Oryctolagus cuniculus: one gene and its partner. The protein of the gene in region 2 interacts with the protein of the main gene of each other region in a pairwise test. Links are inferred from orthologs where the notes say so. Each region holds a gene or a part of one and is shown on either strand. Other genes may lie near its edges.

Region 1 (11,977 bases), on a different chromosome or scaffold from region 2:
TATAACTGGTACTCAAACAGTACTTTATACTTTGTTTCTTTTTGGTGTAAACTGTTGAAGTCTTAGTATATACTAAATTGATCTTCTGTATATAGATAATTGAAAATGAATCTTGATGTGAATGGGATGGGAGAGGGAGTGGGAGATGGGATGGCTGCAGGTGGGAGGGAGGTTATGGGGGGGAAAGGCCGCTATAATCCAAAAGTTGCACTTTGGAAATATATGTTTATTAAATAAAAGTTAAAAAAAAAGAAAAGTAAGCTTTAGAGACAACATTTTAATTAGCGTGTCCAGATTATAGGAAAACATGAGCATTCTGGCCTCTGGACAGGTCACCTCAGGGGCTAAACAAGACCATCTACTTATTTTTATTTTATGTTCAACAAGTTTTTCTGGATAAAGCATTCAGCTTTTCAGGTATTCCAAATTGGGAAAGTGGATGCCCTGGATCAGAGACCTTCCATCACTGCAAAGGGATATCTTCATGGTAAATTAATAAAGTAATACTCCCCATTGATACTTTAATTCATACTACTTTCAAATTTCTAGTCTGTCATGTATAAAATAGTCATCTCTATACTTAAAAAATCTTATTTTTGGACCTGTAAGGCTAATAAAGGTCAGATTCTGAACTATGGCAAATTCACCACTAAATGGTGCTACTCTTTAGCTTGCCAACAGGGGCACTTGTCCTAATAGTGATACCTGTCACCATGTAGAACTATATAACATTATGCAAAACTTCACACAACTATGTGAACATACTGAATGCCACTGAAGTGTACACTTAAAAATGATTAAAATGGTAACATTTATATTACATGTTTTTAATCACTAAAAAGGTCAACAAATGTGGTGGAGTGAGAAGGCCATGCCAAGATGGCCGCTGGCAAGCAAGGGTCAGTTACTCAGGAATGGTTTTGAAACCCACCTGGCAATGGAGCCTGCCCAGCAACAGGCTGTGATTGGATAGCTTTGGAAACCACATGGCAAAAGAGCCTGCCTGGCAACAGGCTGTGATTGGATGGCTTCGGATACTGCCTGGCAACAGGCTGTGATTGGTTAGGGCATAAACCACCCCTTGATCGGATTGGCTACCTTGGCTATTTAAGCCGCTGTACCAACTGAAATAAACGAGTCTGCGGGCTGCTCTCCTCTGGCCTGCTTTCACCCGACTCCTGGGGTCTGTGTGGTGACTCCGCGCCTCTTGCCACCACCATGCGCCTCCTCTCAGAATGAATCCAGCGCAGCAACAAACAAATATATATTAAATTATATTTATTTACACTTTCCTCATTTCATTTATATTTAACACATGTGCTAAATGCCTGTGAATGCCAGGGATTATATCAGGTACTAGGGATACAAATATAACTAAGATATGGGATCTGCCTTCAAGGGATTCATAGCTGAATCTGAGGAGACAACTACACCAAATCACTTAGTATAAAAGTGATATTAGGTGTTTGGATGGATTTTAGTACAGAATACAATAGGGACTCTGAGAAAAGATTGGTCAGTTTTATTGGGAGATTCATAAAGATGGCCCTTCAGACAAGCAATAAACTAGTCACCTTTAGTTTTATTTTCTCAAGGTAACCCATTCTTTTTATTTATTTTCCCCCCAAAGAAACCTTTTGTTTAAGGAATATGGACTTCATGCATTTCTTAAGTACAACTTTAGGAATATAGTGATTCTTCCCAGCATACCCACCCTCCCACCCACTGTTCTACCCCTCCTCCTCCTCCCTCTCTCATTCCCAGTCCCATTCTCCACTAAGATCCATTTTCAATTAACTTTATCAACAGAAGACCAACTCTATAGTAAGTAAAGAGTTCAACAATTTGCACAGTAAAATAAAAACAAAAACAAAAAACCTGCATGGGAAGTTAGTGCATAGTGACTCTTGTTGTTAATTTAACAATTAACACTCTTGTTATTATGTCAGTGATCACCCAAGGCTCTTCACATGAGCTGCCTAGGCCACAGAAGCCTTTTGAATCTACAAACTCCATCAGTATTTAGACAAGATCATAAGTGAAGTGGAAGTTCTATCCTCTCTTCAGAGAAAAGTAAGGTCATCAATTCTATTCCTTCTTCTAGTACTAAGGTAAATGTGAGTAACTTCAAGAACAAAATGTTGAATGAAAGCAGCAGACACAAAAAAGAATACAAACTAGATGATTCCATTCCTATAAAGTTAACAACATAGACAAAAATTATTGTACTATGAATCAAGAGGGTAAATACCTATGAGAAGAAGGGGAAATTAATAAGCTTAATAAATATATTCGGAATTTCTTTAAGATATTTCTTTCTTTATAGGGCTATATGATAGGAAGGCCTTAAGGTCTTCTGACTTCGTGAATTCATGAATACCACTATAGTCTATAACTTTCCCATAAAATGTAGATTTTATTTTCATGTCAATAATGGTATAAGAGATAGTGAGCAAAGAACAGAGACCTATTGATCAGTTAGCTTGTTTAGTCACAAAAATCACAAGTCCTCATAGTCATGTCTTCAGAGTAACTAGAAAAGTTAAATTACAAACTACCAAGAACATATAAGAAGGGAAACTTACAGTGAAAACTTCAAAAACAAATTTTGTGGGGCATTGCTGTGGCATAACAACTTAGGCTACCACTTGCAGTGTTGGCATCCTATATGGGCACCCGTTCAAGTCCTGGCTGCTCCACTTCCAATCCCACTCCCTGTTAGTGCACATGGGAAAGCAGCACAAAATGGCCGAAGTGCTTGGGCCCCTGCACCTACTTGGGAGACCCGAAAGAAGTTCCTGACATAATGATTCAAATTTCCAATACATACCAATTTAACATTATTAATGTCACATATATTAAGAATTTACGCGATGGGGCCAGTGTTGAGGTACAGCAGGTTAAATGGCCAACTGCGATGTTGCCATCCTATACTGAAGCACAGGTTTGAATCCCTACTACTATGCTTCCAATCCAGCTCCCTGCTAATGTACCTGGGAAGCAGTGGATGGTGGCCCAAGTACATGAGCTCCTGGGACCTACATTGGAGCCCTGGATGGAGTCCTAGGCTCCTGGCTTTGGTCTGGCCCACAGGCCATTTGGGGAGAGAATCAATGGATGGAAAATCTGTATCTCTGTCCCTTCCTACCTCCCTCCCTGTCTGTCACTCTGTGTTTAAAATAATAACTTTTTTTTAAAGGATTTAGTTGGTACTAAATATATATCATACAGAAAACTATCACAGACCAGACTTTGTAAGAAAAAAAACCCCATATATAAAAGGACTAGATGCTCTGTGCATGAATGATACATCTCTTGACGATTTTTACAGGGTCACTGACCTTCACTAATTACCTTATAGCTGGTACACACCCAAAGAGAATAAAAAATAATGAACATTCTGAAAATAAGAGTTGCGAATTTCATTTTACCCTTAAAATCATTGTCCACATCCAGTTTGCAAGATCTTTAACTTGATCTAAGTATTTACTACATGTAATGTTTTCCATTTCTAAAATGTCACCAACAGAGTGAGGTGATATGTGTGTGTGCATGGGTATAGACCTATTATATTAACTTTAAAGACAGATTGTTATAGGTAATCTATTTATGTGATGAAGTACAATAATTTCTTTTTCACTTACTTCCACTGCTGCTACAACCTGGAATATTTTCTCCAGGAGAATATCCCATGAGGCCTCCATTCCCATTAGGATTAGAAGGTACTGATGCAAGAAGACCTGAACAGGAAAAAAAAAAAATCCTATCAAATTATGATCAAGATCAAAATCAAGAGTAAATACAGAAACAGCTGCCCAAACAACAAATCAAAGGCAACTATCAACATACCTAGACCTCGGTATCGTGAAAGCTGCTGATAGATCTGTTTCATCCTTTCAATATTCAAACGGCTTGCCTCAGCATGGTTCACCATTGGTTTAGGATAATTAATTCCTATCAAACATTTGGCTACCTTTTGAATACCTTCTGGTGCATTCCAGGGATCATAGATATATTTTGCAGGGAAGCCTCTCAGAACAGGCAAATAACGCCTTTTGGGAAAAGGAAGAAAAATTAATAAAATGTACTATGAGCAAACTGTAAGAAACTACCAGCTATCAGTGACCAAAATCAAATCAATACCATTTAAATGATTTGTTTACCCTTCTCCTTATTTCTGCTGCCCATCTTGAGAGGGGAATACTTAAAGTGTTGCTTAAACATGAAAATCTCTTCTGGATTAGCTATTCCAAACTGAGTAATAACCCTTGATTTACCTGATATAGTCTCCATTGGGATCTGTTCTCCTACCAAAACCAACAGGGCAATAGCAGTGAAAAAACTGTTGGAAAAAGGAACTACAAGATAGCCACATCCAACTTCCAGCATTTATGCTCCAATCTGCATCAAGCAATAATTCTTCAAATACCTTCAGAAGTAACAGTAACCAATTAGTTTGCACACACATAATTCTCAAAGCAAGCATTTTTGAGGTCACTGTAGATCAAAAGTCAAGGCAAAGAAAATTAGCACAAAACTGTAAAATCAAAACATTCCAGTTAGCTTCCTTGTTTGTTCTATAATGAGGAATAGCAGGGAAAGAAAAATATTGGTAATATAGATTAGAGAATTTACTTTTCCAATCCTTGCAGTGTTACTGGGGGAAGGGTAAAAAAATTACTAGAGTCACTGGTTTAAAAGATAGGATATTAACAGAGAAAAAACAGTAAACCACTTTCAAAAAAGCAAAACCACTACCAAATAAATCACCAACAAAAACTTAGAAGCTTGGCATAGTGGCCTAGATAAAGGGAGCACACTTAAATACAAATGTACTTTAAAAATGTACTAATATTACACAATTTAAGTTTTAAATTTCTTGATTCAAAAAATAGAGTTAAATAAATGATTATAAATTGACTAAGTTTTTGCTACACATCTTTATATACAATTTTGTACAAGGAAATAAAGGAGATGTAAAAAAAGGCTCAAAATTGGTCCTTAGATAGGGAAAATTTATAATAATGTCAGAAAGGGAGAACATATTTGTAAATCCTGTTACATAAAACCACAATATGATATCATAAAACATAGTATGTTTCACTTTACATAACAGAAATATTACTAAAAAGTTACAATGTTGAAGTAAGGTGAAATGATTTACATTCTAAGATTTATAATATAAATTCACTATTTCTGAGAATTCTTAGGCAAATCTTTTTTGTGACAGAAATGAATACATATAAATATATCTACACGATAACTCCAGAATGCTAAATCTTACAGTTCTCTTAAATCACAGCCTGCTTTAAACATTTAAATGAGTTTAGGTCTATTGTCTTAGCCAGTTTTCAGCATTTCTCCTGTCTGATTATACCATCCTGCTGTCCAAAAGTATGCCTATACTGTGGTGATTAAAAGTTTTATTCACTGAAACACTAGATTATAAATGAATCTGTACAATATACAACATCTGGAGTTCCTTCAAAGACCTGGCTACAGTTCTTAGAACACTTACCTTCATGCCTTCTTCCCAACTGATCCAGAGGTCACCTCGTGTCAGGAAGCAAGCAACTGCGTGTCTGGCTAAATGGTGAATCCACCCTTCCTGACGAAGCTGTGTCATGATGGCATCAATCCACGGAAAGCCTGTTTGACCTTCAGCCCATTTGGCTAATGCCTCAGGATTCTTATCCCAAGGAATCTGAACACAGATGGGGTTTCCCTCCATTTTATCAAAGCGTGGATTATTTGTTGCTGCTGTATAGAAAAACTCACGCCACAATAGCTGCCCATAAAGAGAAAGAGGAGGGGAACTGTTCTTCTTTACCTATGATTAAAAGGCAAAGAAGTATTATCAGCAAGTTTTAAAAATGTATTTTGAAAGGTAAGCACTGATTTTAAAAAGTACCTTTTTGTAGAGATCTGTCAGTTTGAAGTAGAATAGTCTACATGACAAACAGCCAAATCGCAAATAAGGACTGAGCCCAGTGGGGCTTGCAAGCAAGGAATTAGCATTCATTCGAGGTCTTTCAAAGTTTGCCACCCAAGCCTGAAAACACAGAAAGAATCACATTGTCTTTCCCACTTAAACACAGTATTCAAAACAGATTTTTTTTTTAATAAAAGTTTCCCAGTTCTCTGGGAATAATTTATTATCCAAGCCACAAGTTACATATGTTTATTAAACATGAAAGAAAAGTAAGCATTCTTTCATTTCAATTATCATGCAGCACAGACTCATGTGAAACACATAACCTTCAAACTCCCAACACATGCCTGAGATTACCTTCCACTGCCCACTGAGGTTAACAGAGGATTCTATTCTAATTCCAAAATTATGGTCATCGGAAACCAGGTTAAGTAGAAAGATAGGAAATAACCAAGAAAAATAATCAGAAAAGCAGGAGAAAGGGCATTTAAATGAGGTAGTTAATTTTCAAATACTTAGGTTTGTGTAACTTTATTTCCCTGAACTCTTCTTTTTCAACATTCTACTTTTTGTTTTTAAAAGAGAATGAAATTATTTTTAAAATGCCAGCTTGGAAATAAAACATGGCTAGATGATCTAAATTGTCATACTTTTCTTTCCAAATGCCTTTCCAAACGTGTAAGTGCTTCAGTTTCTCCACCAGGCCACACTGCAGAAGATAAGCCATCTGTATCAAAACCTACAAAAAAACAAATAATCAATTTTCTGGAACTAAAACGTTTTTTATTTAATCACAGTTGTGAAAACAATTATTTTGCAGAAAAATTATGAGAACAGCATGAGCGAATTGAGGGCCTGGAGAGATGCTATGACATAGTCTCTGTTCTTTAGGATGTACATCTTAAGGTGATAGCAACAGATATAGAGAGAGCACATAAATAACTACAGAATTATCATTTCTTAGTTTAGCAGTTTTCTTCTTCTTTCTTTCCCCCCTCACCGTTTCCCTTTTAATGTATTAATACTTCATGTGGAAAAATCAGAGGTAAAATTTTATGAGTCATTTATGACTTACAAACTGTTAAGTTCCACATTTATTACAGTTCACACCCACCTAGCTCTTCCAGGGAAGGGACTCCATATTTCTCATCATGGTCATCAGACACAGGAGTTGTGCACTTTTCTATCACCTCTGAAGTAATTGTCTCCACTGGGATCTCTAGAGGTTCCATCTTGCTGATGAGAGTCTGAAATCTTTTATAAGTGAGAGGCGGTTGTCCACCATTGAGTTCTATGATCCTGTTATAAGAGTTAATAAAGAGCAGTTAATATAAGATACATTGGTGTGATGAGCTCTAAAAAAGGCTTAAAATCAGAAAATAATTAATCACATAAGAGTTCTAATAGAATGACAATTTCTTACATGACCAGGAAATGTATTCAAATAGTTAATGAGTCTAAAACACATTTTCTTCATTTTGTAGATATCTGCAAGATGTCAAAAGTATACACTATGCAAATACCATAACCTTTAAGATGAAGAGTACTAACGACTTATGAGTGAAAAAATCAAGCAGCTATAGTAGCCTAAAAACAATAACAAAAACATTTTTTTAAGATTTATTTTATTCCTTTCAAAGGCAGAGTTACAGATAGGGAGAGAAAGAAACAAAGAGGTCTTTCATCCACTGGTTCACTCCCTGAATGGCCACAATGGCTAGGGCTGGGCCAGGCCAAAGCCAGCAGCCAGGAGCTTCTTCCTAGTCTCCTACTTTAATATAGGAGCCCAAGCATTTGAGCCATTCTCTGATGCTTTCCCAGGCACATTAGCAGGAAACTGGATCAGAAGTGGAGCAGCTAAGACTCAAACCAGGACCCATATTGGATGCCTGCATTGCCACCAGTGGCTTAACCCATCACAATGCTGGCCCCTATAACAAAAACTTTAACACATGTGGACATGTGAAAAACATATTACAACCAAGCTCAAGGAATTCTTCAATCATCAATAAAAATTAAATCAGTGTGCAGTTAAGATGCTGGTTAAGGCGTCCAAAACAACATAGGGCAGGCACTGTGGTGAAGCAGGTAAAGCCACCACTTGTGATGCAGGCATCCCATAAAGGTACTGGCTTGGTCCCAGTTGCTCCACTTCCAATCCAGCTCCCTACTAATGGCCTGGAAGGAGAAGTGGAAGATGGCCCAAGTGTTTGGGTTCTACCATCTATGTGGGAGACCTGGAAGAAGCTCCTGGCTCCTGGCTCCTGACTTCAGCCTGGCCCAGCCCAGGCCATTACAGCCATCTGGGGAGAGAACCAGCAGATGGAAGCTCTTTCTGTAACCCTTGACTTTCAAATAAGTAAATAAATATTTATCAATAACAACAACAAAAAGGTACTGGGTTCAAGTCCTGGTTTGCTCCTGATTCCAGCTTCCTGCTAATGTGTACTCTGGAGGCAGCAGGTGATGGCTCAAGTAGTTAGGCTGCTACGTCCCAGGTGGGAAATCTGGATTGTGTTTCCAGCTCTCAGGCATTTGGTTAGTGAACCACTAGCACATGTGAGTTCTCTCTCTGTCTCATAAGTAAAGTCTAAAAACTAAATTAGGCTGATAATTATAGCAAGGAGTAATCATAAGTCTTACCTTCTTTTTTTAAAAAAAAAAAAAAACTTTATTGTATGTATGTTACATTTACAACATGAAGCTGAAGCTATGGAATACATATATGAAGGGAGTCTTCAAAAAAGTCACAGAAAATGTATATCATGAAAAAAATGCATGGACTTCAAAAATTTTTATTTTAAATTCCATTTTTCATGAACTTTTTGAAGTCCCTTCATAGAGGGTAAATGGTTACTTAGGGTAAACCAGATTAATGTATCTACAATGTCAGTTACCTTTTTTGTAACAAGAGCAGCTAAAACATACTCATTTAACAAAAATCTCAAACATAGTATTTTATTAACTAACCTTCATGGTATGTATTTCTATACTTGTTCATTCTACATGCCTGGTATTTATATCCTTTGACCTATGTCTCCCCATTTTCCTCAGCAGGTTTCACTAATTAGGATTTTATATTACTGGAGTGACAATTACTTGCTATGTTCTACTGTGCCCACTCCTTCACTAAAGAGAAAGGCATCCGAGGTAAATGATGCAGCGGTTAAGTTGCCACTTGTGACGCCCACATCTCATACCAGAGTCTTTGAGTTCAGGTCCAGCTCCACTTCTAATTCCAGCTTCCTGCTAATATGCACCCTGGAAGGCAGCAGGTGCAGGTGGTTGGCTCCCTGCCAGCCATGTGGGAGACCAGGATTAAGTTCCAGGTTCCTAGTTTCTCCCTGAGCCAACCCAGGCTGTTGTGGGCATGTGGGGAGTGAACAAGTGGATGGAAGTCTGATCTCCCTCTTTCTCTCTCCCCACATCCTCCCCCACGATCTCTGTCATTCAAATGAAAAAATCTTTAAAAAGATATCATAATTTATATATATAGCATATACAATAGCCCACATACAGTAGTCTCCTTTTATCTACACTTCTGCTTTTCATAGTTTTAGACACCTGTGGTCAACCTCAGCCAAAAATATTAATCAATTCAAGTGAGAAAGAAAGAGACACATTTACAAAACTTTTATTACAGTATAATTGTCCTATTTCATTACTCATTAATCTCATGCCTTATAATTTATAAATAAAACTTTATCATAAGTATATAAACAGAAACAGTATATTTAGGGGCCGGTGCTATGTGTAGTTTTAGGCTCCATTAGGGTGTTGGAATGTACTCCCTGAGAATAAGGGGGTTACTATTGTTCTTACCACACATAAGGCCCAAAATTTCAACTTACTTAGATTTAAGTAGCTTTTATATTTACTACTCACTTCTAATTGCCTCAACCAAGTCATACTTTATTTTTTTTAAAGATTTATTTATTTATTTGAAAGTCAGAGTTATATATAGAGAAGGAGAGGCAGAGAGAGAGAGGTCTTCCATCCGCTAGTTCACTCCCCAGATGGCTGCAATGACTTGAGATGCGCTGATCCGAAGCCAGGAGCTTCCTCCGGGTCTCCCATGCAGGTGCAGGCACCCAAGGATTTGGGCCATCTTCTTCTGCTTTCCCAGGCCATAGCAGATAGCTGGATCAGAAGTGGAGCAGCTGGGACTCGAACCGGCACCCATATGGGATGCCAGCACTGCAGGCAGTGGCTTTACCTGCTATGCCACAGCGCAGCCTCCCCCCCCCAAGTAATACTTTAAAAAGAGAATAACTAGCTTTGCCAATGATGGTCTAGATTAGACAGTATTTTGGAATAACTATTCTTTTTCATTTGCTTAGCCTTTGGCCTTAAAAAAGAATCAGAGGTAAAGTTCAATTCCATCATTTTATAGAGCTAGACACTGAAGCCTACCAGAAGAGTTGAGCAAATTAATCAAGGTCACATAACTGATAAATGACATATCAAGGGATGCGGGTGGGAGAGACGATATGGGGGGGAAGCCATTGTAATCCATAAGCTGTACTTTGGAAATTTATATTCATTAAATAAAAGTTAAAAAAAATAATAAAAAAAAGATTTTCTTAGTTCAAATACAGTGTATTTTTCATTATACTTTGTGTAATTATGTATCAGATGCATGTATAGAAAGTAATCAACAAAAAAGCTTATCTTCTCCTGCTTTAAAGTAAATTATCTTTATTTAAATTAAATGTAATATTTTGAGTTTATACATTGGATCACAATAATTTTATTGACTGTAATGATACAGCAGTGATACTACGGGGACAATGTTCACTACATTTCAATAGCAAAAATAAAATGTAAGAAAAAATATTTTTTAAAAGTTAAACCTTGAGGCTGGCACTGTCACATAGCAGGTTAAGTCACTGCCTGCGGTAGCTGGCTTCCATGTGGGCACCACTTCAAGTCCCGGTGGCTCCACTTCGGATCCAGCTCCCTGCTAATGGTCTGGGAAGGTAGTGGAACACGGCCCCAAGGGCTTGGGCTTCTGTACACACGTGGGACACCTGGAGGAAACTCCTGGCTCCTGGCTTTGGACTGTCCCAGCTCTGGCCATTGTGGCCACTGAGGAGTGAACCAGGAGATGGAGGATCTCTCTAATTCTCCCTCTCTTTGTCTGTAACTCTGCCTCTCCAATAATAAATAAATTAAAAAAAAATTAAAAAGTCAAACTTTGTTATGATATGACATACAGTAAATATTCACATTTAATCCAATAAACACTAATTTTATGCATAATATTGAATCTTCCACCTAGAAATCAACTGCTCTTACACTGTTTTGTCCTTTCCTTGCCATCAGCTCCCTAAAGTTAAGCAAACTGGTACACTAGATAGGAAGTTTATTTTCCAAAGATACATGAGGGAACTTCAAAAAAATTCACAGAAAAATGGAATTAAAATTTTTGGTGCAAAAATTTTTTACATCTATGCAATTTTTCATAATATGCAATTTCATGAACACTTTGAAGCTTCCACATATACACAGATTTCATTTTTTGCACCAAAACAACCATATTTTAATTATATTTTTATAACCTTTTTGAAGTACTCTCAAATGACTTGTAGAATAATATCAAGGAAGATTCCTGACTGAATCCAAACATGATTTTTTGATACACTTGGAGACATAGACTAAAAGTGACTAGTTTATCACTTTATAAAATTAGTTTAACTTGATAAAATGTGTAAATAACTAAAAATAATTTCATTTTATTTTTAAAAGATTTATTTACCTTGGGCTGGCACTGTGGCATAGTGTTTAAAGCCACCACCTCCAGTGCCAGCATCCCATATGGGTGCTAGTTTGAGTCCTGGCTGACCACTTCCAGTCCAACTACCTGTTAATGGTTTGGGAAAAGCAGCAGAAGATGGTGCCAATTCGTGGGCCCCTCCCATGTGGGAGACTAGAAGAAGCTTCTGGCTGCTGGCTTCAGGTTGGTTCAGCTCCAGCCATTGCAGCCATTTGGTGAGTGAATCAGCAAATGAAATGTGTGCTCGCTCTAACTCTGCCTTCCAAATA
Region 2 (11,977 bases):
CCCCGCCCCGCGGCCCGCCGGCGCCTGTGCGCGTGCGCATGCCGATGGCTGGGGCGCCGCGTTTCCGGGTTTCCCTCCGGTCGCCGAGCGGCGGGACGACCCCACCAAAATGAGAACAAGTCTGGGTCTCTCCTCCCGGGCCTTCGAGGGCGAAGTGAGACTTTGCACGAGAACGGGAGGCCGGTTGGGCTTGGTAAGAAGAAGAATCGTTGGAAGGGCCGCGTCGAGACGCGATGTGTGCGTGGCAATAAGAAACCACCCTCGGCTGCTGAGGCACCGCTGGGATTCGAACCCAGGATCTCCTGTTTACTAGACAGGCGCTTTAACCAGCTAAGCCACGGCGCCGGCGGGAAGGCGGGCCTGTCTCGCGGCACATCAGCTGTTTTGAGACACCATCGACGAGGCTGCGGAGAGGCCCGGCGCCGCGTCCTTCCACCCCCGGCTCGCCCCTGCCCCTCGGGGTCCGGGCTGGAGGTCAACGTCCCGCCCAGTTTTTCCCCATGGGTGCAGGACAACGGGTGCCCGTAGCACCTAGGCTGACGCTGCCCGAGGGCCTCCCCTACCCCACCCCCTCGGTGTGGTGACCTCAAGGAGCCGGGCCCCTTCCATCCATCTCTCCTTCCCGGGACACCAGCTGAGGCCATGCGCGGGCGAGCGTGGAGTCGGAGTTTGGTGCTGACGTCTGCAGCCGTCAAGGGCCCTCAGTGGAGGTGCAGGGAGAGCAGCGCCCACACCCTCAGGCAGCCCTCCGGGGGAGCGGGACCCCACCCCCCGCTCCAGCTCCCCGCTCCCAAACTTCATTCCACAAAGTCCTGATGGTTTTTGTTTTTCCGGTTTTGTATTACAAAAATAATAACAGACACGATATCAAAAACACAAATGCCATTGGTAGAGGGAACAGCTGAGAACGCCTGGGTCCCACCTGAGGGGCAGCACCAGGGACTCCGTGGTCCACCAACCTCCCCCACCCTGGAGCAGCTAGGGGCTCGAACCCCTGGGTCCTGCTTGGCCCTCAGTCCCTCGGCCCACGTGGGGAGGAGGTGGGAGAGAGAGCCATCTCCCCAATAAATAAGTGCAGTGAACCCTCGGGCTGACGCTGGGGCTCCGTGGGGTCCGGCGGGACTGCTTGAGCAGCTTGTCAGCAACCTGGGCTGGGGCAGGGCGCGCTCCTCACCAGGGGTGGCAGGGGACACCCCTCCAGGCTGCGCTGGGGAGTTCCACCCGCTGTTGCCTAACAGGACAGAGGCAGTCCCTGGATCCCGGGCTGGTGATGGGTCCAGCCCCCGCCCCCGACGAGCTGGGGCCGTTTCCTATTGGTCTGGCCACCTCTGGGTTCTGACATGAGGACACAGAAGGATGCCTCTCCCCGCCCAGAGGTGGCCCCCGGATGGAGCCTAGCTGGTGCCATTTTCCTCGGCGGGTAAGGCTGGACCAGATGAGCTCCCACCTTGCTCCTCCTCCTCCATGGCTGAGTCCTGGGAGCCGGAGACCTTGGCCTCCCCCTGGGCCCGGGCCTCCTCACCACCCTCACCCTCACCCTCACCACTGCCGCCACCGCCGCCGCCACCACCCTCGCCTCCACCCTCCTCCATGGGCTCCAGCCCCAGTCCCTCCAGCTCCGAGAAGACAGGGTCCTCAGGGTGGCCGGGGTCTTGGGCGCTACTGCCGCAGTCCACACAGGCCTTGGAGAGAGAAAGGGGGTACGAGTGAGGCAGGAGGCTCCTCAGGGCTGTCCGCCAACCCAGCTTCCCGGCCCCGGGGCCCAGCGGTGCTTCCCAATGTGTACCTGGGGTCCTACTGGCTACCCAGATGCCACTAGGGGACCATCACCACGGGCACGGGCAAGAGCAGGTGCATGGCAGTTCAGCCACGCCACCCAGCAGCTCATGGAATTCATGACCCAGCCCTTACCCTTTCTGCCTTGAACTTGTGCTCAATCCCCTGCCAGCCCCCCGCCCCCAGACTTCTCTCACCATCACATCAAGGGCCCGAGGCAGCTGGCCCTTCCGGACCCAGGAGTGCACAGCCCCCAGTTCCCGCCGCTGGTCCTCGGAAAACCGAGGCTGCTGTTTCTGCATGGCCCGGAGCCGCTCCCGGTCCTGCTTCAGCACGGACGCCACGTCCCTGCCCGGGGAAGGTTCGAGGCAGAGGCTAGGATCCAGGACCAAGGCCAGGCGGCCAGGACCCCCGAGGCTGGCAGTCTGCCTCTAGCAACCTCCCCGCCCACTACCTCGTGCTCCTCCCCTCAGCTGGGGCGATGGAGGCTCATGGCTCTCGGAGCCCAGGCAACCTGCTCTCAAGTCGGGGAAACTACTGATGGGGCTCCAGGGGGCCAGGGGCTGGATGGAGCCTCCAGGACAGAGTCCCAGGGAAGAAAACTCCACGTTAGCTGGGGAGGGAGGGTGGGCTGGGGCTGCCTTCCCCACCACCTCAACAAGGGAGGTGGAAGAGGCCTGGGACCCGCCTCACCTGGAGGGCACCTGGTAGGTCATCATGACACGCTGGTCAGCATTGGCCATGAGCAGCCAAATGGGATCCTGGAGTACATACTTAATGACCTGGTCTCCAGGCTCGGCCCTGGCCCGCGCAGCCCCAGCCTCTGCCTCTGAAGAGTCCACGCTGCCGAAGTACTTGCTCGTGTGGCTGCTCTGACTGCTGCCTGTGAGTGAGGGGCAACCGCTGAGTGGGCTGCCCGGCGCGGGCCTGGCCTCCCAAGGCCCCTGCCAGGGAGGTGTGGGGGGGTGGGCTTACGGGTGATGCTGGCCGAGGTGCTGCCCTCTTCGTGGGAGCCTAAGCCAGAGCCCAGGGAGCCCGAGGCTGCGGAGCCGGTGCCAGAGCGAGAGTCTTCCTGCAGCAGCAGCTCCAGCAGGTCGCTGGAGCCAGACAGCGCGTCCTGATTGGAGGACTCGGTCACCTCCACCTGGAGGGCGGCAGGGAACAGCAGCGATGGTGGGCTCCGCGCCTGGACAGCCCTCCAGCTGTCCCCACTGTCCCCGCTCCCAACAGTGGGGCCCACCCAGGCCAAGAGAGGGGAGAGCTGGTGAAGAAATCCAGCTGGGGTCTCCCGCCCCACGACACCCACTCCTGGGGACAGAGACCCCAGCCCAGGTGACCCCAGGGCAGGAAGCTGCGCAGGCGCAGAGGGAGCAGACGTGGATGGGGAGGGCCTGGTGGGCCTGTAGGACGCAGGGGGTCGGTGCTCACCATTCTGGCCTCTGGCTCAGCGGCCTCCTCACTGGGAGGCGGGGGCCCAGCACTGCTCCCGGGACCCCCTGCAACGGCAGCCCCCTCGGCACGGGGGGGCTCCTCTAGCTGCAGCAGGTTTAGCTGGAGCGGGGAGCTACATCTTGACTGGAACAGTGGGGAGTCCGGACGTGGCGGGGGGCTGGGGGGCAGGGGGGGCAGGGAAGGGGACGGAGACTGGGAGGCAGGGGTGGGAGGCCCCTCCGCAGGGCTCTGGGGCACCCCATAGGGATAGGTGGATGTAGTGGGGAACAGATAGTTTGGGAGCACTAAGGCTACCATTGGGGTCACCAGGGGGGCAGGGAAAGTGGCAGGGGGCACAGATGTGGAGGCCGGGGGCAGAGCCTGGGGGCCTCCCCGAGGAGAGAACACTGGGAGAGGGTAGGGCTGGACCACGGCTGGGAATGGCGTGGTGGCCGGTGAGGAGGGCCAGGCAGCAGCGGGGGACACAGGTGAGGGGTGGGAAACGCAGCAAGGGGCTTCGGCCCGGGGAGTCTGGTGGTGGCGTGAGCGCTTGGCTTTGGATCGGCAGTGGTGTCGGCGGCCAGGGGGCGCAGGGCCGTGGTGGCAGCCTGTAGGGAAAGACGGCGTTAGCGAGGGCCTCAGCCTGAGGGTTAGTGCCCCTGCCTCCCCCAACCACCCTGACACTGACCAGACGGAAGCCGGGCAAAGGTTCCAGGGAGAGCTGCTCGCCCACACAGAGCAGAGGGCACAGCGGGGGAGGGGGCTTCAGGGAACAATTACAGGAGTCAAACACCAGGGAATTTATTGAGAAAGGAGCCAGGGAAAGGAAAGGTTACATGAAGGCCAAGCTAGGGTGAGCAGGAGGCCCACCGGCAGGTGGGAGGAGGCAGTGTGGGTCCAGGGACCAGTGGGTAGGTGGCTCCAACTCATCCTCCGAACTCTGGAAGACACTGCCAGCCTGGTGCTGCTCTTTCTGCCTAGCTTTCCACAGTGGCAAGAGGTGGGCAGGACAGCCCAGGCCTCAGTCTGAATCTCGAGTCTCTTGAAACCCCAACTCCACCCAGAGTCGGCCCAGGGCCCGCATGGATCTCTTCATCAGTGACAGCTGCGCCTCGGCCTGCGCCACCTCCTGCCCTCGCCCCCAGCTAGGCTGGGGTAGCTTACCTGGAGCACAGCACCTCCGCCTGCCTGTCTCAGAGCCAGACCCCAGGCTGCCCTGGCTGCAGCCAGGAACCCCGGCCTGGCAGGGAGAGGCTACCGTGGGGCCCGTCCTGAGGCAGGGCCCTGGAGGGGGAGGCAGCACCAGCCTGCGTCCCTGGAGTAGGAACACCTCCCTCCAGACCCACCCGGGGCAGGCTGGTCCTGGACTGGGCAGAAGGCAGGCTCGGGGACGTCCCGGTGGCTACCTCGCTCGCCAGGGGCCGAGGGGGCCGTGGAAGAGCCGTCGAGTCTGCGCAGCCGGCCGAGGTCTCGGAAGCGGCTGAGGAAGGCTTGCTCTTCCTTCTGTGTGTGCAGGGACAGCACGGCCTTGGTCAAGCCCACTGGGCGGTAGGCATCTGGGGCTGGGTCAGGGGCTACTGTGGGGCTGGGGGCCGGACTGGGGGCCGGGCCTGGGGCTGGGCCAGGCAGGTCCTCCATGATGATGTCTAGGGAAGGGGAGATGGGGGAAAGGTCATCAGAATCACCTCCAGGTCAGCACAAGCCCACACACACCCTCCCCGTCCCACAGCATAGCTAAGCCCTGGGCCCCGAGCCCCTGAGCCCACCACTCCATGCAAAGCTGTCCCGGGACGCGAGCATTCCCGGTCTCCTCCAGTGGCTGCTGCCCCGCCAGCCAAGTTCCCGGGATGACACCGCCAGAGCTCTCGTAGGAGGGCAGGCCCCCTCCTCGCCCTCCCCTCACACGCTCTCAAGGTCAGCACCCAGAGACCCTCTGGGGGTCTTCAGCAAGTTCCTCGCTACACACACCCTGATGTCAGCACCTCTAGGCTGAACCCTGCCACCCCCGAGATCTATGCTTCCAGAGACGGCGAGAACACAAGGAGCAGAGTGGGGCAAAGCAGACAGGCTGGCAGGGGCAGGGCGAGCCGCAGCAGCCCCCACTAAGAGGAGGCCTCTTTCTCTCCATAAGGCCTGGAGGGGGAGAGGGAGGGGGAGGGGAAGGGTAGGCAGGAAGGGGCTGGCTGGGGACCAAGTGGAGCCCGGGTGCTACGCCCTGGCTCCATGCCCATACCCGCCTCCGGGGGCTTCTTGTCTCCCACATGGACGATGGTGGAGCTGAAGCTACACTGGCTGGTGACGGACACCACGCTCTCTGCCTTATTGGCCAGGGCAAGCGGGCTCAGGGTGCCTCCCACCACCGCCTCCTTCTGCGGAGTCGCCCCCTCCCCAGAGAGCACTGCCGCCGCCGCATCTGTGCAGAGAGATGGCCCTGGTTACCACCCCGCCAGGGGTCAGGAGAGGGGCTATGGGGTGGGGCGGAGATCAGGAGGCAGGGCAGGGGGACAAGGCAGAGCGAGGTAGGGTCCCAGAGGCAGAGGGGCAGAGTCACGGGGTCACCAGGCTGGGGCGGGGACATCGTTACCTTTCTTGGTCCCCATGGGGACTGGACCCGCCCTCTGCCTGTCATCGTCGGAGGCGGAGGAGGCGGTGCAGGAGGAGGAGGAGGCGCACTTGCGCTTGGTTGTGCTGGGGATGTTGCAGCTCTCCAGGTACCTGCGGCCGACACAACAGGCAGCCTTAAGGGCAGGATCCAGGTGCGGGCGGGGGCAGAGACCGGGCCCAAGGGGGAGCCGGTGCAGGCACGCCTCACCTGAGGATGCTGTCCAGGCAGTTGATCTGCTGGTAGGAGCAGCTGGAGGCTTCCTTCTGCTCAGCCTCCTCAGGGACCAAGGCTAGCGGGGCCTGGATGGGAGCAGGGGCCACCTCCAGCTCTGGGTCTGGGGACTGGCTGGGAAGGGCCTTGGCTTTGAATGTGCCTGTAGCTGGGGCAAGATTCAGGGAAGCGGGTTGGAGGTGGAGGTCGGGGGAATCTTCTGGTCTCACGCCTCCCCCACCCCCGGGTCCTTGGCAAACTCACCGGGGAGGCGGGGCCGAGGTGGAGGCCGGGCCCGGGACTCAATGAAAAGCTGCTGCCCCTGGTGTTTCACCAGATGCACGTCCTTGCAGATCTGCTGGAAGGTCACCTGCAGGACACAGAGCAGCGGTGGGTGGCAGAGGACACGAGCAGGGAGGAGGGAGCCCCTACAGGAGCAAGGCGGGTGGGGGAGGGGGGCGGGGACAGGAAGAGGAGGCCAAGGCAAGGCTGCGGGACTGGCAGGGCAGATCCCAGCACAGAAGGGCGACTCGGGGGCAGGTCACTCACTGGAGCAGGAGGCCCGGGCCCTTCCGCATCGCCCCCGTTGCTGTCACTGGAGGAGCCAGGGCTGTGCAGGGGGCCTGGGGACGTCATGGGGCCAACACCACAGAGCCCCGTGGGGCTGGAGCTGTGCACAGGCTGCCGTGGGGAAAGGGGCACGTGAGATGTCTGCAGCCTGCCTCCCGCCCCTCCCGCCCCTCCTTCACCTCCCAAGCCCCCTCCCCTCAACCCTCACCTGCAACAGCAGCCGGTGGATCTGCTCAGACAGCTCGTGGATGTCAGGGTCCAGGGACAGAGCCGGGCTGGGAGCAGGGGGCGTGAACACGTCCTCATTCAGGGGTGCCCTGCAGAGTAGGGGAGGGTGAGTCCTGCCCTGCCCCAGGTCCGCCCGACCCGTCCAGCCCTGCCCTGCCCCCAGTGTCAGCCGGGAGGCACAGCACACTTACGTGCGTACTTTGTGGCGGCCCAACACAAAGGCCACCTTGCGGCTCCAGGGGTGCACGAAGCCGGCCCAGCTGGTGTCCATGGTGACGTACTCCCCATTGCGGGCACAGAAGCGGATAGGGGAGTGGTCAAAAGGCTGGCCCGCCAGCTGTAGGACTGATTGGCAGGAAGGGGGGGGGTGAGGCGTGTTGGCATGGGAAACGAGGAGGGGTCAGCGGGAGGGAGGGACGAGACCCAGATGACCATGACACCCAGAGACAAAACTGTGAGGGCAGCTATTAGGAAGCCCCAGGGACTGCCAGGAAGGGAGAGCATGACGAGAGGAGCTCACTCTTCTTGTGGATGGCCAGCATGAGGGGTCGGTCCTCGGGATGCAGGAACAGGAGCACTGGGGCCCCGAGGAGGTCCTGGGGCAGATAGCCCAGCAGCGGAGCAGCCCTGAACAGGAGGAGGAGTCAGAGAGACCCTGGCCTCCGCCCTGGCCACCCCCTGCCCTGCCTCTGGGCCCGGACCTCACCTTTCGTCCACATCCTGGAAAAGGCAGCTGGGTGTGTGCCGCGTGGTGAAGATCCTCTTGTCAGGAGGGATCCGGGGAGCTGAGGCACAGCGAGGGCAGTCATGGAGTTTCATCCGCAAGGGTTCAGCTCCCCGGCCCTCCACACTGCCTCCCCATAGCCCTGCCTGGGGCCCGGCTGCCTGCAAAGACGGCCTGGGCCATCCTTTGTGCCTTGGATCAGTATCTGCACCAAAAAGAACTAAGGCGTTCTTTGCCCCCCACTATCTAAGGGCTCTACCTCTACCGGGGGCTGCAACCCTCACCCTCAGGACAGCTCGACTTGTTCCAAGACCCTACCGGCCTGGCTCCTGCCTCCCCGTCCTCCTCCCAGCCTGAGCCAGGCCCGCCCACCTTCATAGCCCGAGTGAATGCGTTCTGCGATGAGCAGGCAGCACGGCTGGGCGGGGGCCCCGTCTGAGACCCGGATCTTGGTCACATACGGAGTCAGGCGGAATGGCTGGTACCGAGGCCCTGGGTCCCGGTCAGGACCTCCTCTAGCCGGGGAGAGAGAAGCATTAGAGACCTTCAGTGTGGAACCACCCAGCCCTCCTCAAGATCATGGCCCACATGACAAAGAAATCAAGGAGATGGTGGGAGAGGGCGGCCTCCTCCCACTCCCCATACGCCGACCTACCTGATACGGCAGAAGACAGACTTCTCTTGGGTGAAGTCCTTGAGGCCTGAACCTGGGACAAGGCAGGCAGTGAGCACAGCTCCTGGCACTCCTGGCCCCGTCCCTGGGCCGAGAAGGGCCCAGCAGGGTAGAGCTTGCGTCCCCTGGCCCCTCAAACAGCAGGGGCTTCTGGGACCGCTCATCCCTCTCCCAAGCACTGGAGCACCTCACCTGCCGAGGCTCCCGTGCCCCAGGTGGGCAGGCGAGACGGGGCAGTGGAACCGTAGAAAACGCCCACGTCCTGGGGAGCCAGGAGCTCCGAGAAGCGGGCACCTCGGAACACGTCCCGCTTGCAACGCAGCAGGATGGCCGCCTGCTCCGAGATGTACACGATCCGGCCGGTCAGGAAAGAGACGGCCACCGAGAAGGTATCCTGGTCGGCGGGCGAGAGCGAGAGCAGATTCAGGAGCTGGGGGGTGGGGGTGGGGGGGGTCGGGCGCGCTGGGGAGCAGGGGCCGGGCGGCGGCTGACCTGGTTGCGGAGCGTGTACTCAGACGTGATGTGCTCCAGCTCCTCCAGGGTGTAGGTGGACATGTCCATGGCGCACGGCTCGCCTTCTTCCAGGCTCCATTGCTGGTAGTACTCCTGGTTGGCTGCAGGGGGGCCATCGGTAAAAACGGGCTGCCCTCCCACAGCAGCCCAGGCCTGGGCCACTCCCTCTGGGTGGGCACCACTCACCCTGCACCTGCTTCACGCAGGCCAGTGCGTACTGCAGCGTGGCCAGCGTGCCGGAGCGGCCCTTGCCCCGGCGCTCTGGTGGCAGCCGAAGCTTCAGCTCCCGAAGCGCCGTCATGAGTTCCTTCTGCGTTCTCGCCCGGGCTGACTGTTCACTGCTGCAGGGCCCACGACAAGGAGAGGGTGAAGACGGGAGCCCCAGGAGGAGGCCCAGGAGCCCGCACCTTCCCCCTCCCAGCCCTCAGCCCACATACCTGCAGCCGCTGGTGGATGGGTTGTCCTGCTCTGAGCTGGCACTCAGAAGGCTATAGGCGATGGAACTGCTGGGTGGGGATGGGCTCTGAGAGTTTGTGCTAGGGGAGAAGCAACAGACCCAAGATGAGGGGCCTGTGGCCAGCAGCATGGGGCTCACCTACACCACCTCTGGGCCTTGAAAAACACACGCACACGCACTTACCTCTTGCTGCTCTCCGTGGTCTCCAGCAGGGCAGAGTCCTTGCCATTGCCGGAGGAAGAGCTGTGTGAGCTCCGCTGAGAGGCACCCCTGGACTCAGGCCCATTGGACTCATTGCCACTGGAGCCATTGCTGTTGGCATCGGTGTCATCGGCCAGGCTGGGGCCTGGCCGAGGCCGGTGCTGTGGGGGCCCTGGGGATGGGACCCCGCCTGGACAGAAGGATTCTCCGGGTCTGGGGTCCCCACCCCCATCAGCCCCTTCTAGGGGGCCACTCATGTCTGGGCCATGGGGAGGACAGGAGAAGAGAGAAGGCGGAGAGGCCACTACGGATGCACCCGGCGGCCAGCAGGCCTGTCCGAGGGAGTGAGGTGGGAGATCTATGTTTCGGAGGGTTGAGAAGTTGGATCACGGCCAGCACCTGGAGAGCGAGATCAGGAAAGAGAGCTTTAGGGAAAGCTGGGACGCTAACCCCACAGCACCTGCTGGCTTCTCAAGACCCTCCCCTTCCTGCTCCCATGCTCCCGGGCCCCGGGCCCAGGCCCAGGCCTTCTAACATGCAGCTGAGGGAGGTTCTGTTTTGTGTCTCCGTAGGAGTGCGGCAGGTGGGAGAGGGCTCCCTTGGCCTTCCCCCACATCCTCTGCCAGCGTGGCGCGAATTTGTACCGCCCGAGCAATCGACCAGGACTATGGCTGTGGGCCAAGGCCTGGACACTTCCCATGCCCAAGTTCCCAGCAGGGCCCCCCCAACTCGGCCGGGGACTCTAAGGCCACAGAGCAGGGGGTGAGCCGATCGCCGCCTATATTTAGGCTTCCGGGCTAATTTTATCCGGGGGCGGTGCCACCCCCGCCGCACATGCGCGCCGACGTGCGCGGCCCCACCACGCGCTTCCGCCGCCGCGGTCGCCAGGGAAACCGACGTCAGCCACTGAGCTCAGCGGTTGCTGGAGGGACCACAGGAGGGCGGGAGGGGCGACCCCTCCCCCATTTCCCAGCGGAAGTGGGAGATCGACCCTCTCCCACACGGGCGGGCGGGTGCGGCCGAGGGTCGCCCACCCCTAAATATCCCCAGTGTCTGGACGGCGGGATGGCGTAAGAAAAAGGGCCGCCTCTCTGGGTTCCAGGGCTGGTCCTGGCCGCCCCAGGACGAAACACAACCACCACGGCCCTCCGTGCAGAAGCCCCCCAGCCTGGCTCTCGCCTGGGTCCCCGTCATTCTGGCGGAGACGACACAGCCCACCTTTCTCCGGCTCCTGCCCCCTTGCCGACCACCAGGGCCGAAACTGGCACCTGCTAGCGTCAAGGACCTGGGAATCCTCTCCCTACCCCACACTCCCCGTCCGAAGCTCTGGGCAGGGGTCGCACAACAGCCAGGGGACAGTTCTAACCCCACTCTCGGCCCAACCACACCCCCCCATCCTCAAGCATTTTCTACGCGCCAGGAGAAAGGCAGGCTGTGGCCAGCAACAGGAACTAGCGCCGGGAACGGGATGTTCCAGCCTGAAGCGGGCTGACATCACGGCCGGCGCGGGGCCAGGGCCCGGAAAGAGGAGGGAGCGCCGAGAGCCTGAAGGGGTCCTGATGTCAGGACAAGCCCGCAGACCCCCGAGTAACGAGAAAGGAAACAGGGCACGCTCGCTGAGGGTCGGCTATGGGGCCAGGGTGGCTGGGGCCGGAGGTAGGGAGGCGGAGTGGGGCGAAGCTGGAGGTAAGATGAGCGGGTCAGGAGTGCGGACGCCCGGTGCAGGGTTGCAAAGAGCACCCAGGTCCCTGGGGGCAAGAAGGGGGTGGACAGCGACAGGGAAGGTGGATTATTGGTGTGCCGTCTGAGCGTCCGGGCTCCAAGTGGTCCATCGTGTAGGAAGTGGAGGCAGTCCGGCTCTGGGACCGAGACCGGCCCCAGGGTGGGCGCGGAGGTGCCTACCTGGCCTGGCGAGGGCCCTCCGCCGCCTGTCCGCTGCAGTTCCAGCCCGCAGCCGAGTGGAAGCTCCGCGGGGCGGGGAGGCGGGTTGCATAATGCCAGGCGCTGCCCCTCATTGGCCTCCTGCCGGCGGAGCCGCAAGCCCCGCCCCCGATTGGCTGGGGATCTCTTCCCGGCGCCCGATTGGCTGCCGGCCCCCACTGAGGTCAGGGCTGTGTCACACACACGGGCGCACGTGGACCTGGGTGCTGGCGCTGGGCTGAAGGGCCCCGGACACCGCCCAGCACAGTGAATAATAGCAGAGAGAAGAGGGAGGTCAACCGCCCCCTTCTGAGAGAAGATGCCCGGGCTCAAAGAGATGTCTACTTCCTGAACGGACAAGATTTGCAGAATAGGATGCCTTGGTCTTTTTGGGGGGGGGGGGGAGTGGGGGAGCTGGCCCCAGCTGGATGAGATGCCAGGCACCGAGAGGAGGGGCAGACAAACCTGGCTTGGCCTCTCCTGGGCTTCCCTCCCCAGCCTTGTCATCTGAGGTGAAGAAGCCCCTTCCTCTGACACTTAAAATCCCGGAGGATGGCAGTTGAGGGCCCACGTGTGACTGGGCTGAGTGGGCAGTGGGAAGAGGCAGACAATGGACGGGGCAGCCGGAGCCAATAGGGGCTGCGAAGGGCAACAATGGCAGGGGCTGCC

The links.
Region 1: the proteins of PER1 (region 2) and CRY1 interact in binary tests that used the Homo sapiens proteins (3 or more experiments, as listed by UniProt). The link is inferred for Oryctolagus cuniculus from reciprocal best matches to the Homo sapiens genes PER1 and CRY1.

What each region holds. Positions count from the first base shown.
Region 1 is NC_091442.1:109,553,836-109,565,812, forward strand, and holds part of CRY1 (cryptochrome-1), read right to left. Parts: intron 7,232-11,977; coding exon 7,047-7,231; intron 6,672-7,046; coding exon 6,583-6,671; intron 6,053-6,582; coding exon 5,912-6,052; intron 5,831-5,911; coding exon 5,519-5,830; intron 4,430-5,518; coding exon 4,278-4,429; intron 4,053-4,277; coding exon 3,850-4,052; intron 3,741-3,849; coding exon 3,645-3,740; intron 1-3,644.
Region 2 is NC_091448.1:52,634,037-52,646,013, forward strand, and holds the end of PER1 (period circadian protein homolog 1), read right to left. Parts: exon of another isoform or gene 11,774-11,977; intron 11,635-11,773; exon of another isoform or gene 11,291-11,634; intron 9,788-11,290; 5' UTR 9,646-9,787; coding exon 9,371-9,645; intron 9,267-9,370; coding exon 9,168-9,266; intron 9,072-9,167; coding exon 8,917-9,071; intron 8,832-8,916; coding exon 8,710-8,831; intron 8,612-8,709; coding exon 8,410-8,611; intron 8,252-8,409; coding exon 8,200-8,251; intron 8,060-8,199; coding exon 7,917-8,059; intron 7,606-7,916; coding exon 7,527-7,605; intron 7,448-7,526; coding exon 7,341-7,447; intron 7,166-7,340; coding exon 7,012-7,165; intron 6,910-7,011; coding exon 6,801-6,909; intron 6,704-6,800; coding exon 6,572-6,703; intron 6,393-6,571; coding exon 6,287-6,392; intron 6,192-6,286; coding exon 6,020-6,191; intron 5,923-6,019; coding exon 5,792-5,922; intron 5,621-5,791; coding exon 5,441-5,620; intron 4,854-5,440; coding exon 4,614-4,853; intron 3,816-4,613; coding exon 3,205-3,815; and 10 more. UniProt on the Homo sapiens protein: Transcriptional repressor which forms a core component of the circadian clock.